2 linked regions of the Arabidopsis thaliana genome follow. The protein of the gene in region 1 interacts with the protein of each later gene in a pairwise test. Each region holds a gene or a part of one and is shown on either strand. Other genes may lie near its edges.

Region 1 (6,486 bases):
AAAGATGTAAAAAGGAAACAAAATAGAAATCGAGATTAAACAAGTAAGTTGCACATACCTAAGAAGTTCAGCACATACATCAAGATGATATCTTGATTTCTCATCCTTCAAAACTGAGGAGTCAATCTCTTTTCCTTTTGCAAAATTGACATTACCTAGATGAAGGATTGCAGCAACAACTCTAAATATTGCATCCTGATAGCAATTATCAGAATGGTCAATAAGATGCTCTACCAGAGAAATCATTTCTTGTTGGAAAAGGAGTAAATGGAAGACTGACCTGTTCCTCTTCACTGATGCCAACAATATCCATAGCTCGTCGGGTAGCAAGATACTCCTCGGTGTCATCCACTCCATCCAGTTTATAGCACTTCGATTGATTTAGGTAGTGGAATAACTTAGGATCTCCCAACTTGAACTTTTCTCTTTCCTACAGATTGGGAAAATAAATGAAATCCACAACCACTTAATCATGTGATTTAAAGCAGAACGCCTAACAATAAGGTATATTGGCATCATTGTGTAGCACCAATACCTCAGGTGGGGCAGCACATAAAAGGTAAAAGCAGTGGTAATTTCTTTCAGGATCTGATATTTGACACACTCGAGACCTTTCCAACAAATATGTTCGCACAGCTGCTCCAGATATTCTCCCACAGTTGTCAAACTGAAGCTCGACAAACTTTCCAAATCGACTGCATTTTGATTGAAAATAAAAGTTACAATGAGGATATCTGCCTTGAAGCTTAAAATAACTCTATAGTACAATAATCAATCACGTACAAAAGTATTACTATTGAGTTGATTACTCTCTAACTTTACCGATAAAAAAGGCCAAGAGATTAGCATAGTTTATATGTGATTAATTTTTCTTATGTACCATCAGTGCAGTTGATGCCTTGGGGTTTGTTATATAGTTAGAAAACAAAATTGTGACAAGTGGTGACTGAGGAAGCTTTGAGCCAAAAACAACTTTGACTGTGCAACTAATGACAACTTTTCAAGAGAAAGATCCAAAGGAAAACCTCTAAGTGAACATACGCATACGTACCTGGAGTTGTTATTCCTGAGAGTTTTAGCGTTGCCAAAAGCTTCAAGAACTGGATTTGACTGTATACCATCAATAAAACCAAAATAGTGAATCAGGCTAGCATTACAAGCCTCTCTATAAACATATCAATGCAGTAACTAAAAGTATCTGTGTAAAGGCTTAGACTCTTCTCCATGACAAGCTTCAAAGCCAAGATAAAAGAAACATATTTTTTTGAAGCCTCACCTCCAGAACTTGCTGTTCCACTGTCCTTCCTTCAACGCCGGATCGACCACCAAGGTAAGCAAGGTAGCGCATAAGCATCTTTGTTGTCTCAGTCTTACCAGCACCACTTTCCCCACTTACCAGAATTGAGTTGCTCTTGCCCTCATTTATCATTGCCCTACCCAGAGAAGCAAAAGAGAATAGACTAGCATGAGAAATGTATGAATAAAGAGTGACTACGAGAATTTCTGCTAGTGGATCATTGATTGGGATTAATAACCTGTAAGCAACTTCTGCAATGGCAAACACATGGGGGCTTAGTTCCCCAAAGCCTGCTCCTTTGTACTGCTCCATCATATGAGTATCATAGAGATGTGGTAACCTTTGAAACGGATTTACAGCAATCAAGATGTTACCAGTATATGTCTGCGAACATATTTTAACGGAAATATTTAGGAATGTTTTCTACTGCTTAGGAACTCAGTAAGTGATTTCATAAGTAATCAGTGCAGAAAATGAATAACAACTTACATAAATTTCGTTCAACTCATATCTCATGGCCAAGTTATTCAAAACACCTGGTTCATGTAAATATGAGAGCTTTGTCATGTCATCAACACCCCCAGGGGGAGCCTCTGTATCCTTTGGAAATACGTTTGCGATATTGGCCACAACCTGAAATTAAATTTGATTGATTGATTGATACATAATCTGGTTTCAATGATTGTATAATATAATTATGAAATAGGGATGTCAATGTCATGCAAAACTCATATGTTAGAGGAGTAACACGGTATCCACAGGGAAAGGGGTTAGAGGACTAGTGACATTTTGTTCAAAGTTAAACAGACACCCTAAGCAGAAACACCCTATTCATTCCAGTGACATTATTTCTCAAAAGGAAATTTACATGCAAAAGCATGGGAGGAGGATAGACAACTTACGGTCTTCCCATTTGTGGTATGTGCATGAACTTCTTCGCCATTAATTTTGACAACTTCACCATCAATCCATGCCGCTCCAGGATCTTCAATCCAAACATGAGAACCAACTATTATATTGACTGGGCCAACCTACAAAAGATACAAATATTGAAGACGTGAGGTACAAAGATTTTAATAACCTCACACAAGCTGTTACATAAGTTCCTCTTTCAAATACCAAATATCATCAGTTCAAGCAGTTGAAATAGATGGCACCAGACATACGAACCTAAACCGAAAGTAACTAATGTTATAGATTAAAATTTCCCGCAAAACCAGGACAATAACACTGCCTATAATCTAGAGACAACACTCACTTAGAAACACAACAAAGATAGCATAACACTGCGCATTTCCCTCAGTTTCCTTCATTCTGGAAACTAAATCTTCAGCCTTTATATCAAATAAAACTTAGGTATATAAAAAAAAAATGGTCTCACCTGAAGAAGTTTCCTGATGAAACATATATATAAAGGGACAGTAATCTAACATAGAAGCTTACATAACCTCGTTACTAATAATAGAAGTAATCCAAAATGGTGAGAGCCGCTAAGTGAAATGTTAATAGGAAATGATAAGTCCACGAAATGAAATTTAAGATAACTGAAATGGTCCAACTTCAACTTGTTATAGAACTCTTGACCCTTACCTTTCAATAACACTGTATAATGTTCCCCAAAATAACAAAATTCAACTTTTCTACTATAGTTGGATTGAGAATCTCTCGTGTTAATGGGAAGACGAACTAGGGATCGAAAACAAAACGCAAACCTCATACAAAGATATCTCTACTAACGAACACCAAATCGGACAAGTGTTAAAAATGAATCCGTTTAATTGATTTAAATCCAACATAAACCCATTTGAGAAAATACAATAAGCAATTGAATAAAACGACGAGGATGATGATATCTATGATTTTACCATGGCTACTCCTTTTTTTCCAATAGATCCTCTCTCTTTTTCCCAGTTAACTCATCCAAGAGAGACCGATTTTGCAGAAAGCTGACTCAGCGAGTCAGGCAACAAGACGAGTCAGATCGGGCAGATTCTCTCGAGTTGGTGTGTCTGAGAAAAATTCTCCTTGAAGTCAGCTCAAAGCAGACACGGAGAAATCGGGAGATCGGAATTAACGGAGCCAAAATTCTTTTCAAAAAGCTGAATCTGAATGAATTTTTTAATCTCTCTCAAGAAAGCTGATTGATTGTTGAAGAAGCAGAATGAAAGAAAGCTAGACTTGGCCTTCTTCTTTCTTTGCAGACGACGTTCTCTAATGGCTTTTTTTTTTGTTTTTCTCTCTCCTCGAGCAACAACAATGTTCTCTTTTGAGCTGTGTGTCTTTCTCTCTCTAACACTTTTTTTTCTTAATTATTATTTGTGTATTGTTTTCAAACAAAAAAAATGTTGGTGCTTGAGAATTGAGATTGGTCAAGTGGGGTCCAATGAGGAGAAGGGAGGTGGATCGAGTTGGACATTCACATTCGTGGTCAGCCACCCACAACACTCTTTGAGTCTACACACAGACAACAACAAAGATTGTTTCGTAAATAAAAAAAACATTACTACATCTTTTGTTTTTGTCTCTGCCCTTTGAATTGCTCATTTTTACACTTTTATCCCCTTTTTTGTTTTAATTAAGACTAGTAAATTATGGCTAATTTGTCTTCGTTAGTGGATTGGTTAGATGTGGAAATATTTTAAAATTCTTACGAGCGTTTCTGTTTTTGAAATTCTCTTTTATAAAAAATATAGGATATAACTTGTGAAGAATGTTTACAAATGATTTGACTCATATATTCAAAATTGATGTGACACAAATATTAATTTTAGGTTTTGGGATGATGTATGATTTTCTTAGTTTAGCGGAAATCAAATTGAACCCGCAAGATAGTGTTAAGACGTCTAATACCAGCTTTGGTCATGTCATTATCATTATCATCCTTTATACTCCAAAAATGTTCTATGTTTTTGAAGCCCAGTAAAAAATAATTGTTTTTGTTAAGTTCACCCAATTTATGTAATAGTGGTTGGGCTGAAACAATAACCTTGATTTTGGGCTTTAATACGACCCTTATTTAGATGGGCCGGGTTAAACCGTACCCGCCACAACACACCTACACCTACTTTCCACAGTATCGATCCTGCAAGTCATCGTCTTCAATTGGCATCTGAAGAAGAAGAAGAAGAAGAAAGGAGCCATGACAATGTTTAGATCTATCTCCATGGTAATGCTGCTCGTCGCACTAGTTACATTCATTTCTATGGTTTCTTCTGCTGCTTCGTCCCCAGAAGCCGACTTTGTTAAGAAGACTATCTCTTCCCATAAGATCGTCATTTTCTCCAAATCCTACTGCCCGTATGTCTCTTTCTCTGCTCATGTTTAATCACTTTTTATCCGATTCGCAGAAAAATTGGATCTTGGGTGACTTCAATTTGCGATTTTGTTTTTTAGATCTTAATATCTGAAATATGAGTGAAAACTTGAACCCAATGAACTTGTATTCGTTAGATTTGGATTTTTATGAGACAACTTTGTTATCTCTGTTTACAAATGGTGGTTGAAATCAATATGGATTTTCGTTTAAGATATATTCAGGTTCAGTTCTCAGTATTTGTTCTCTTTGCTTTTCCTTTGGCCTTAATTGAGTTGTGTAGAGAGATCATGTACCTATGTATATGACTCATCTCTACTTTTCCTTTGCTTCCTTGTGGTTTGGTCAACAGCTACTGCAAGAAAGCTAAATCAGTGTTCAGAGAGCTGGATCAAGTTCCTTATGTTGTCGAGCTTGATGAAAGAGGTGTGTTTTAAGGTTAAAGGGAATCATGTCTTCATCATCCAACAATGTTTCTTAGCTCTCAGACATTTCTGTCATTTGAAACTTTGTCCGATCACTATGTAGAAGATTCATTTGTGACTAATGGTTGGTAAAAATTTGGTCTTGCAGAAGATGGTTGGAGCATCCAGACTGCACTTGGAGAGATTGTTGGAAGGCGAACAGTACCGCAAGTCTTCATTAACGGAAAACATCTCGGAGGATCAGATGGTATACTTAACACTCCTTTTCCTTCAACAAAACGTCTTTGCTTATGCCAACATTTGCTGATCGATAGATTTATCTTTGTTTCTGGTTATAGATACCGTAGATGCGTATGAGAGCGGTGAACTCGCCAAGCTTCTTGGTGTTTCCGGGAACAAAGAAGCTGAACTCTAGGTTATATATAGTTGGAAGAATTGATAACACTCTCTGTGATGCTTAGGTGTAAGCAATTCAATTTCCATTTGTATTGTGTTCTGCAGCTTGATCATGACCTTGTGACAGCTTGATCTTGCCTTTTAAACGTATCTTATCAAAGACCACATTCTGAGTTATACAAATTGGGTTGAGGAATCAAATCTGGACATGCTACAAATAACTTATCTGAACAACACACAAACTTTAAGTGCATTGTACTGTTTGGGGGATAAATAGAGAGTAGCTAAGACTAGTGGAAATAAAACAAAATAGATAGTAGCTAAGATTAGTGGAAATAAAACATCTAGGGTCGTGCTCTTTTGTTGCTGCAAGTAGGGCACTTGTAATGCTTGATATGCTCCGCTCTAGCTGGAGTGATCTTCACACACTCCCCGTGGAACCATTTCTCGCACATGTCACAGCAAATCCAGAATTCATCAGAAGCATAGTTATCTCCACATGCTCCACATAGGGTTTCACCGTGTTCGTCTTCATCCTCATCCTCTTCCTCTTCCCCTTCTTCTAACTCTAATCCTTCTTCCTCATCCTTGGCATGTATCGTCTTTGAACTTTTACTTTCTAAACCTCTCTGCATTCCAGATCAAGAAATGTATTAACTACACCAAAATAGCAGAGAGTAAACTATAAAAAGTAATCAACAAGTGTCACTGGAGCGGTAAGCTTGTGATAAATTGGCCATTTCATTGCATACTGATACAGTAATTCCAGACCTGCCGCTTAGATGATTGCAACTAAAGATACATCTTTGTGCTGCCTGAAACTTAAGAGGTTTCTTATGCCACACAATTCACAAACTACGATTATGGAAGTAAGAGTATTGTGTTCAGTTAATGTTTTAGAACTCAATAGCAAACTGTGTAAGATCTCAATCTATAATGCATATGATGAAACAGATGTTTAAGGAACAAACTTGTGCAGCATACGCTCGAGGTTAGCAGAAAATGAGAAGTATTGTAGGTAGTAGGTACGCTACAACAGTAACCTTAAAGCACAA
Region 2 (6,274 bases), 1.4 Mb from region 1:
CATGCTCTCAGTTTTGCTATCTGTGTATTTCATTTTTACTTAAATTGGCCCTTAACCATTTACTTAGGCCAACTGCACTGGGCATGATTTTCCTTATACCTTAGAGTTTTTGTAGTGGCCGTTTTTTTACCAAAGCATGCTTAAGCTGTTATCTTTGAGTTTTTTTTTGGTAGTTTAGCCTCTTTTGAGGATGAAATAAAAGGACCGAAAACTTAGTTATATATGGTTGATACTTTGGTACTGCTACCAAAAAATGATTTCAGCTTCATAAAACTGTAATTATGAATGCATTTATAATTGCAGGCACTTCCCTACAGGAAAGAAGCGCTCATTGTGTCTCCATGGCCACAAAATTCACTTCCAAGGAATGTTGAATCAATAAAAAGATTTGAGAATTTACAAGCTCTGGTCAGTATGAATTTTTACCTTAATATATTCTGTAAACCTCAAACAGAACCATACTTAAAGGAATTAATATTTATACTATTAAAAGTTCAGAGCATGTTGACACCTTGCCTGTTAAATCACAGACTAGAGCAATTCGAAATGCACGAGCAGAGTATTCAGTGGAACCAGTAAAGCGTATATCTGCCTCAGTTGTTGGAAGTGCAGAGGTCATTGAATATATTTCGGTCAGTAACTTGTGGCTTCCTAACAGTTAAATTATCTTACGAATAAGGTTCATCAGTTTGCCTTGTGTTTCCTTATTAAAAACTGTGTTCTTGTGGCGGTGCAGAAAGAGAAGGAGGTATTAGCTCTTCTATCCAGGCTTGACTTAAACAACGTCCATTTTTCCAATGCCCCTCCTGGTATAATTATCTTTAATCCTTTTTTTCTCTTTTCTTTTCATTGTTTGCATCTTATCTCAATATTTACATTTTCGATGATTCCCTTGAATCATCATGGTCACAACAAAACTTCACATGGTTGGTCCTTCAGGTGATGCAAATCTATCAGTCCACCTTGTAGCCAGTGAAGGACTCGAGGCATATCTACCTCTTGCAGCCATGGTTGATATATCATCTGAAGTCCAACGCATTTCTAAACGTCTCTCCAAGATGCAAACTGAATATGACGCCCTCATAACTCGTCTCAGTTCACCAAAGGTATACCATAACCATCAAAAGAGTCTCTTAAACCCTTGCTAGAAATTGTTTTCGATAAGCTTATTAAACATGGTGCATTAGTTTTAGACTCTGCTTGTTTTACAACATTTTTAACGCTGAAATATGTAGTTTGTGGAGAAAGCTCCAGAAGAAGTGGTGAGAGGTGTAAAGGAGCAAGTAGAAGAATTAGAAGAGAAGATAAAGTTGACCAAAGCTAGGCTTGATTTTCTCAAGTCTACTACTTCTTTAGTGTCTCAGTAAATTCAGGTAGTTCTTATTCTCTCAAGTTCGGACCCGACCAATAGCGGCCCATGGACCATTTAATTGTGATCATTTGAGTCGATGAGACTACCTACTATTAATATTTCTGTTTTTTGAGGACCCAATTAGTTTGAAAATGCCCCCAAAAATGATCAATTGTCAACTATTTTACCAGTCCTATTGTCGGGGCCCATAATGCCTTTTAAGCAGAAAGTGGATTTTATTTTTATTTTATTTTGACAGCAGAAAGTGGATATATTATTAATTTATTATATTTGCTGGTTATGTTACAATTGTATTTACTATTATTTAATAGCCTCACCAACTAGGTAAATTTTGTACCAATAATCAGTAATCAGAACAACATAGCTCTTTTCACAAAAGTTTGTTTTTGTTCCAAAATTGAAAAATCCATAACCATTTTATTAGGTAAATTTATTAGGTGGTTGGGCGTATGGTTTCGATACAACTTGTGGTTTAGTGAGATGCAGTTTCGTTTGGCGAATATTAGAGAAAGCTAATGACAGGAAAAAAAAAAAAAATAGTAGTAAACCCATACCTAAAAGCAAAAGAAGCAATAAGAAGTACTGTACCTCGCTTTAACCTCCCTTTTCCTTTTTTATGTTTCTTTTGACAACCAAATCTTCATCATCACGCTCTCTCTTTTTGCCTTTAGCCAATTTCTCTCTCCAATTTCCTATTTTTTTTTTTAATCACATGAAAAATGATAACAAACCGTGAACCAAGTCACTAAACATAAATGGTTAAATGGAGTTTTTTTTATTATACAAAACACAACATTGCTGTTTAGAAAAAAATTACTCTACTTTCTCATTAACATTGAATTCTCAAAGGTTACGTACTACTATTATTTAAGCTAACCAAAAAATCGAGGTTAAGGTTGGAAAACTTATTCCGGTTTAGTTTATAGTTCCGGTTCAGATCTAAACCAACTTGAAACTAGACAAAGACAGCGTCGTTAGCGCATGTAACCCGACAACATCATTCTCACTCTCTCCTCTTCTCTCTCTCTCTCTCTCTCTCTCTTCTCTCAGTCGGAAGCAGAGGAGCCAAAATCAATGGCGGCCAACAATTTTGCGACGAAGCTAAGCAGAAACACCAATAGAATTACCGTAATCTTGGTCTACGCATTCCTTGAATGGCTTCTCATGTTCTTTATCTTCCTCAATTCCTTTTTCACTTACTTTATCGTCAAATTCGCCTCTTTCTTCGGTCTTAAGCAAGTATGTCTTCTCTGTCCGAAGCTAGATCGAATCTTCGAGCGAAAGCCAGAAAACAGATTCACTTACAAAGAGCTTTTATGTCAAAATCACATCGCCGAGCTCGCTAGTCTGAGTTTTTGCAGAACTCACGGGAAATTATCCGAATCGGCGAACTTATGCTCAGATTGCTCTAATCGCGAAGAAGAACAGAGCAACATTGGTTTAGGTTTTTGCACATGTTGTCAGAAGAGCTTAGCGGATAAACCATACCCTAATTACTTGCTTCTCAAGTCATCAATTTGGGGGAAAACTTTGGGTGACAGAGAAGATGGAGGATTGATCTTAGAGATGATCGATGATGATAAATTTGGAGATGGGTTTGAGATAGATAGAGAATCTTATCCCTTAGGGTTCTTCAGAGATAAAGCAGAAGAAGGAAAGAAGCAAGACCAGCAGCAAAATGGTGAAGTGATTTCAGATGTTGAGAGTTATGGATTAAGCTTGAGAGAAGTGTCTGAAGAGGATGGGTTAAGATCTATCATCAGCAATAATTCTCCTGGGAACGAAGCTAAATCAAGAGTTTCAGAGGATGAACAAAGGAATGATGACACAAGCAATGTTGCCACATATGGGGAAGATCAAATTTCAGGTAGAGTAAGAACATAAATCCAAAGTCTGAAACTTTATATGTGTTAGTTTTCTGGGTTTTATAGATTCCTCATTGTGATCAAACAACAGGGCGTGTAGAAGAAAAAGAAGAAGAAACAGGAGTAGCAGATTTGTTGTATGACCAGTTTGAGAGCAAGAATTTCACTGGTAAGCAAAAAGAATGACTCTTTTGTTATCGAAAATCTCTTCAAGCAGGCCTTGTGCACATATGCATACATCTTTGGTTTGGTTTATCTAACTTTGTGAAGCACTTTAAGTCTGAATATAGTTGTTTTCTTTCATAGGTAGCCAAATCGAAGAAGAAGAAGAAGATAGAGAAGAAACGACTAAGGAGCTTGATCCGGAAACTCCAACTTCAGTCAGTACTTTGTTTAACAAGAAACTTCATTTTCTTGCTAGAAATGAGTATGCAGCTGCTGAAGATGCAGGAGATGGGAATGTATTAGTGAGTGAGATGGACGGTGGCGATCCTTTAAGGACTATTGAAAGGTTGAGAGAGACAGTGAGAGCAGAACAAGAAGCACTGAGAGATTTATATGCAGAGCTGGAAGAAGAAAGAAGCGCGTCTGCAATATCGGCTAACCAGACAATGGCAATGATCACGAGGCTACAAGAAGAGAAAGCGAAAGTTCAGATGGAAGCGTTGCAGTATCAGAGAATGATGGAGGAACAAGCCGAGTATGATCAAGAAGCCTTGCAGCTATTGAATCATTTGATGGTGAAACGAGAGAAAGAGAAGGAACAACTCCAGAGAGAACTTGAGGTTTATCGGGCAAAGGTTTTGGAGTATGAATCGAAAGCTAAGAACAAGATCATCGTTGTGGAAAACGATTGTGAGGCTGATGATGATGATAAAGAGGAGGAGAATAGAGAAGAGGATAATTCTTCTGAGATGGATGTGGATTTGGAGAAGATAACATTAGATTGCGTACAACATATGAGCATGCTTGGTGAATCTTTATCAGAGTTTGAGGAAGAGAGGTTAGTGATTTTGGATCAGCTTAAGGTGTTAGAGGATAGGCTAGTAACAATGCAGGACAAGGAATCTGCTGAGGATCCGGGAGAATTCAGCAATAGTTATGAAGAAGCGAGTAATGGACATGGAGGACTAACAATGGCATCAATGGCAAAGAGTCTGCTACCTCTTCTAGACGCAGCAGAGAACGAATCAGAAGACGGGTCTCAAGGACTACCAGAATCAGATGAAAAGAACTTTGGTTCGGACAGTGAGAAACTGGAGATAATCAAACAAGTTGATAGTGTCTATGAGAGGTTACAGGAGCTGGAAACAGATGGAGAGTTTCTGAAAAACTGTATGAGTTCAGCGAAGAAAGGTGACAAAGGAACAGATATTCTTAAAGATATATTGCAACATCTCCGCGATCTCAGAACCATTGAACTCACTAACACAATTGAAAACCAGACGACACAGGAAGAGTGATGTTTATTCACAAGAATTATATATGAACTCTCTCTCACACCATTGTTCAGACAGATTTCAAGCCGGAATCAATGTCTTTGCACTGCTCAATGGAGGATCTGAGAATTACAGAAATTCTTAGATGTCTCTTGTTTGTGTTTTCTTTTTTTGTTTGGTGTAACAAAAGGTTTCACACACACTAGTCATTGAATTTGTATCTGTCAATGTAAATTCTGTGTTTCTTGTAGTTTATGAGAGTTTTCAGTTGGAAAATAATTGGCACATAAAACTGGTTCGTTCTGCAACTTTAGCTGGCCCATTCCTTACCAAGAAAATAAATTCTGGCCCATTTAGCCCAAACATTGAAGGCCCATTGGAAAGTCAGAACACGAGTTTCTTCGTTTGGTCTAAGTTTAATATCTTCTCAAGAGGATCGATCTTCTTCGTTTCCTTGATTTCCAAGCTTTAGATATTCTCGAACCACCGTATAAACAAACACCAAATTGCTTTAATTTGCATAAACAAACGTCATGATTATACTTTGGGCAGATAAAGGAATCATTAGTCTCATCTCATGTGTTCTTTACCAATTGTCACATGCCCATTTTACTTTTGCATTCCTAATAAATAAGATGTAAATAAATAAATAAAACCTAGTATATATCATGACAATAATAGTTTCTTTGCGATAATGATTGATGGTAATGAATTGTATAGTTTTATTTTGAAGTATATAATGAAGAATGTATAGTTTTACCAAACAAAATCATTGAATCATACCAAATATTTTTGCCAAAATGATTTATATATTTTATTTCTTATGAACGCATTTATATACCAACCGTATAATAATAAATAGGAAACACGGAAACGTTGACAAAAAAGAAAATGACGAACAATAAGAACCGTTGATCTTGTTAGAAGCCGCAATGATATGAACAAGAAGAAGAGAGTGACGGTAGTTTCGCTGTCAGTTTGATTGGACAAAAGAAGAGTGTGGGTCATTATCGTCATTTTACCAACCTTCACGTTCTCTTAATTTCTATTTTACCATTATTTAATGAAGCTAGATTATTAGTGGTTTCTTTGTTTTTATACATCGGATCGGTAGCAGAATAAATAAGCTTCTTTTTAACGAGTTAGTGAGGCCACTCTGGAGACAACCACACCTGCCATTATCTATATCATTCTCCGTTACTTCGATCCCACCGATTCGAATCATTCTCTCTCTCTTTCTTGATCTGAAAATTGAGTCCCAATTCCAGCAAAATTATCAATCGAATTTCTGATCAACTGAGCGCGACGGTGGTGGCGACGGTGGTGGCGACGGTGACAGCGATCGACGGTTATGGCTTCGAAGACTAAGTAAGACTCTTTACTCAGTTTCACTCTGTTTTAGTTTTATCCTATTTTCTCTGGGAAATTTTTTAGTAGATCGTAGTAGATCTGATCCAAGTTACTATTTTGAGAAATTGTCAATGATCGAGTTTTGGATCTACTAAATTCATTTCTACATTTGTTTTGTCCTAATTTTTTGCGGCAATTTATTTCTTTGTTCTGAGATCGACTGTTGTTATTGTCTTTTGTTGGAAACA

The links. Proteins that work in one complex are often made in the same cells at the same time.
Region 2: the proteins of XIK (region 1) and AT5G16720 interact in a two-hybrid assay, tested with the Arabidopsis thaliana proteins (one study listed by BioGRID).

Annotation. Positions count from the first base shown.
Region 1 is NC_003076.8:6,934,216-6,940,701, forward strand, and holds the start of XIK (myosin family protein with Dil), read right to left. Parts: upstream 3,616-6,486; 5' UTR 3,166-3,615; coding exon 3,163-3,165; intron 2,350-3,162; exon of another isoform or gene 2,329-2,349; coding exon 2,200-2,328; intron 1,931-2,199; coding exon 1,787-1,930; intron 1,682-1,786; coding exon 1,536-1,681; intron 1,434-1,535; coding exon 1,277-1,433; intron 1,111-1,276; coding exon 1,052-1,110; intron 696-1,051; coding exon 536-695; intron 431-535; coding exon 281-430; intron 196-280; coding exon 59-195; intron 1-58. Other genes in the region: AT5G20500 (Glutaredoxin family protein), read left to right, coding at 4,437-4,594, 4,963-5,036, 5,184-5,282, 5,374-5,450; AL5 (alfin-like 5), read right to left, coding at 5,776-6,060. UniProt on the Arabidopsis thaliana protein: Myosin heavy chain that is required for the cell cycle-regulated transport of various organelles and proteins for their segregation.
Region 2 is NC_003076.8:5,491,863-5,498,136, forward strand, and holds AT5G16720 (caldesmon-like protein (Protein of unknown function, DUF593)), read left to right. Parts: upstream 1-2,365; 5' UTR 2,366-2,446; coding exon 2,447-3,239; intron 3,240-3,328; coding exon 3,329-3,406; intron 3,407-3,543; coding exon 3,544-4,700; 3' UTR 4,701-4,984; downstream 4,985-6,274. Other genes in the region: EMB2247 (protein EMBRYO DEFECTIVE 2247), read left to right, coding at 304-408, 531-632, 737-809, 940-1,106, 1,236-1,367; AT5G16730 (weak chloroplast movement under blue light protein (DUF827)), read left to right, coding at 6,028-6,044. UniProt on the Arabidopsis thaliana protein: Membrane-anchored myosin receptors that define a distinct, plant-specific transport vesicle compartment.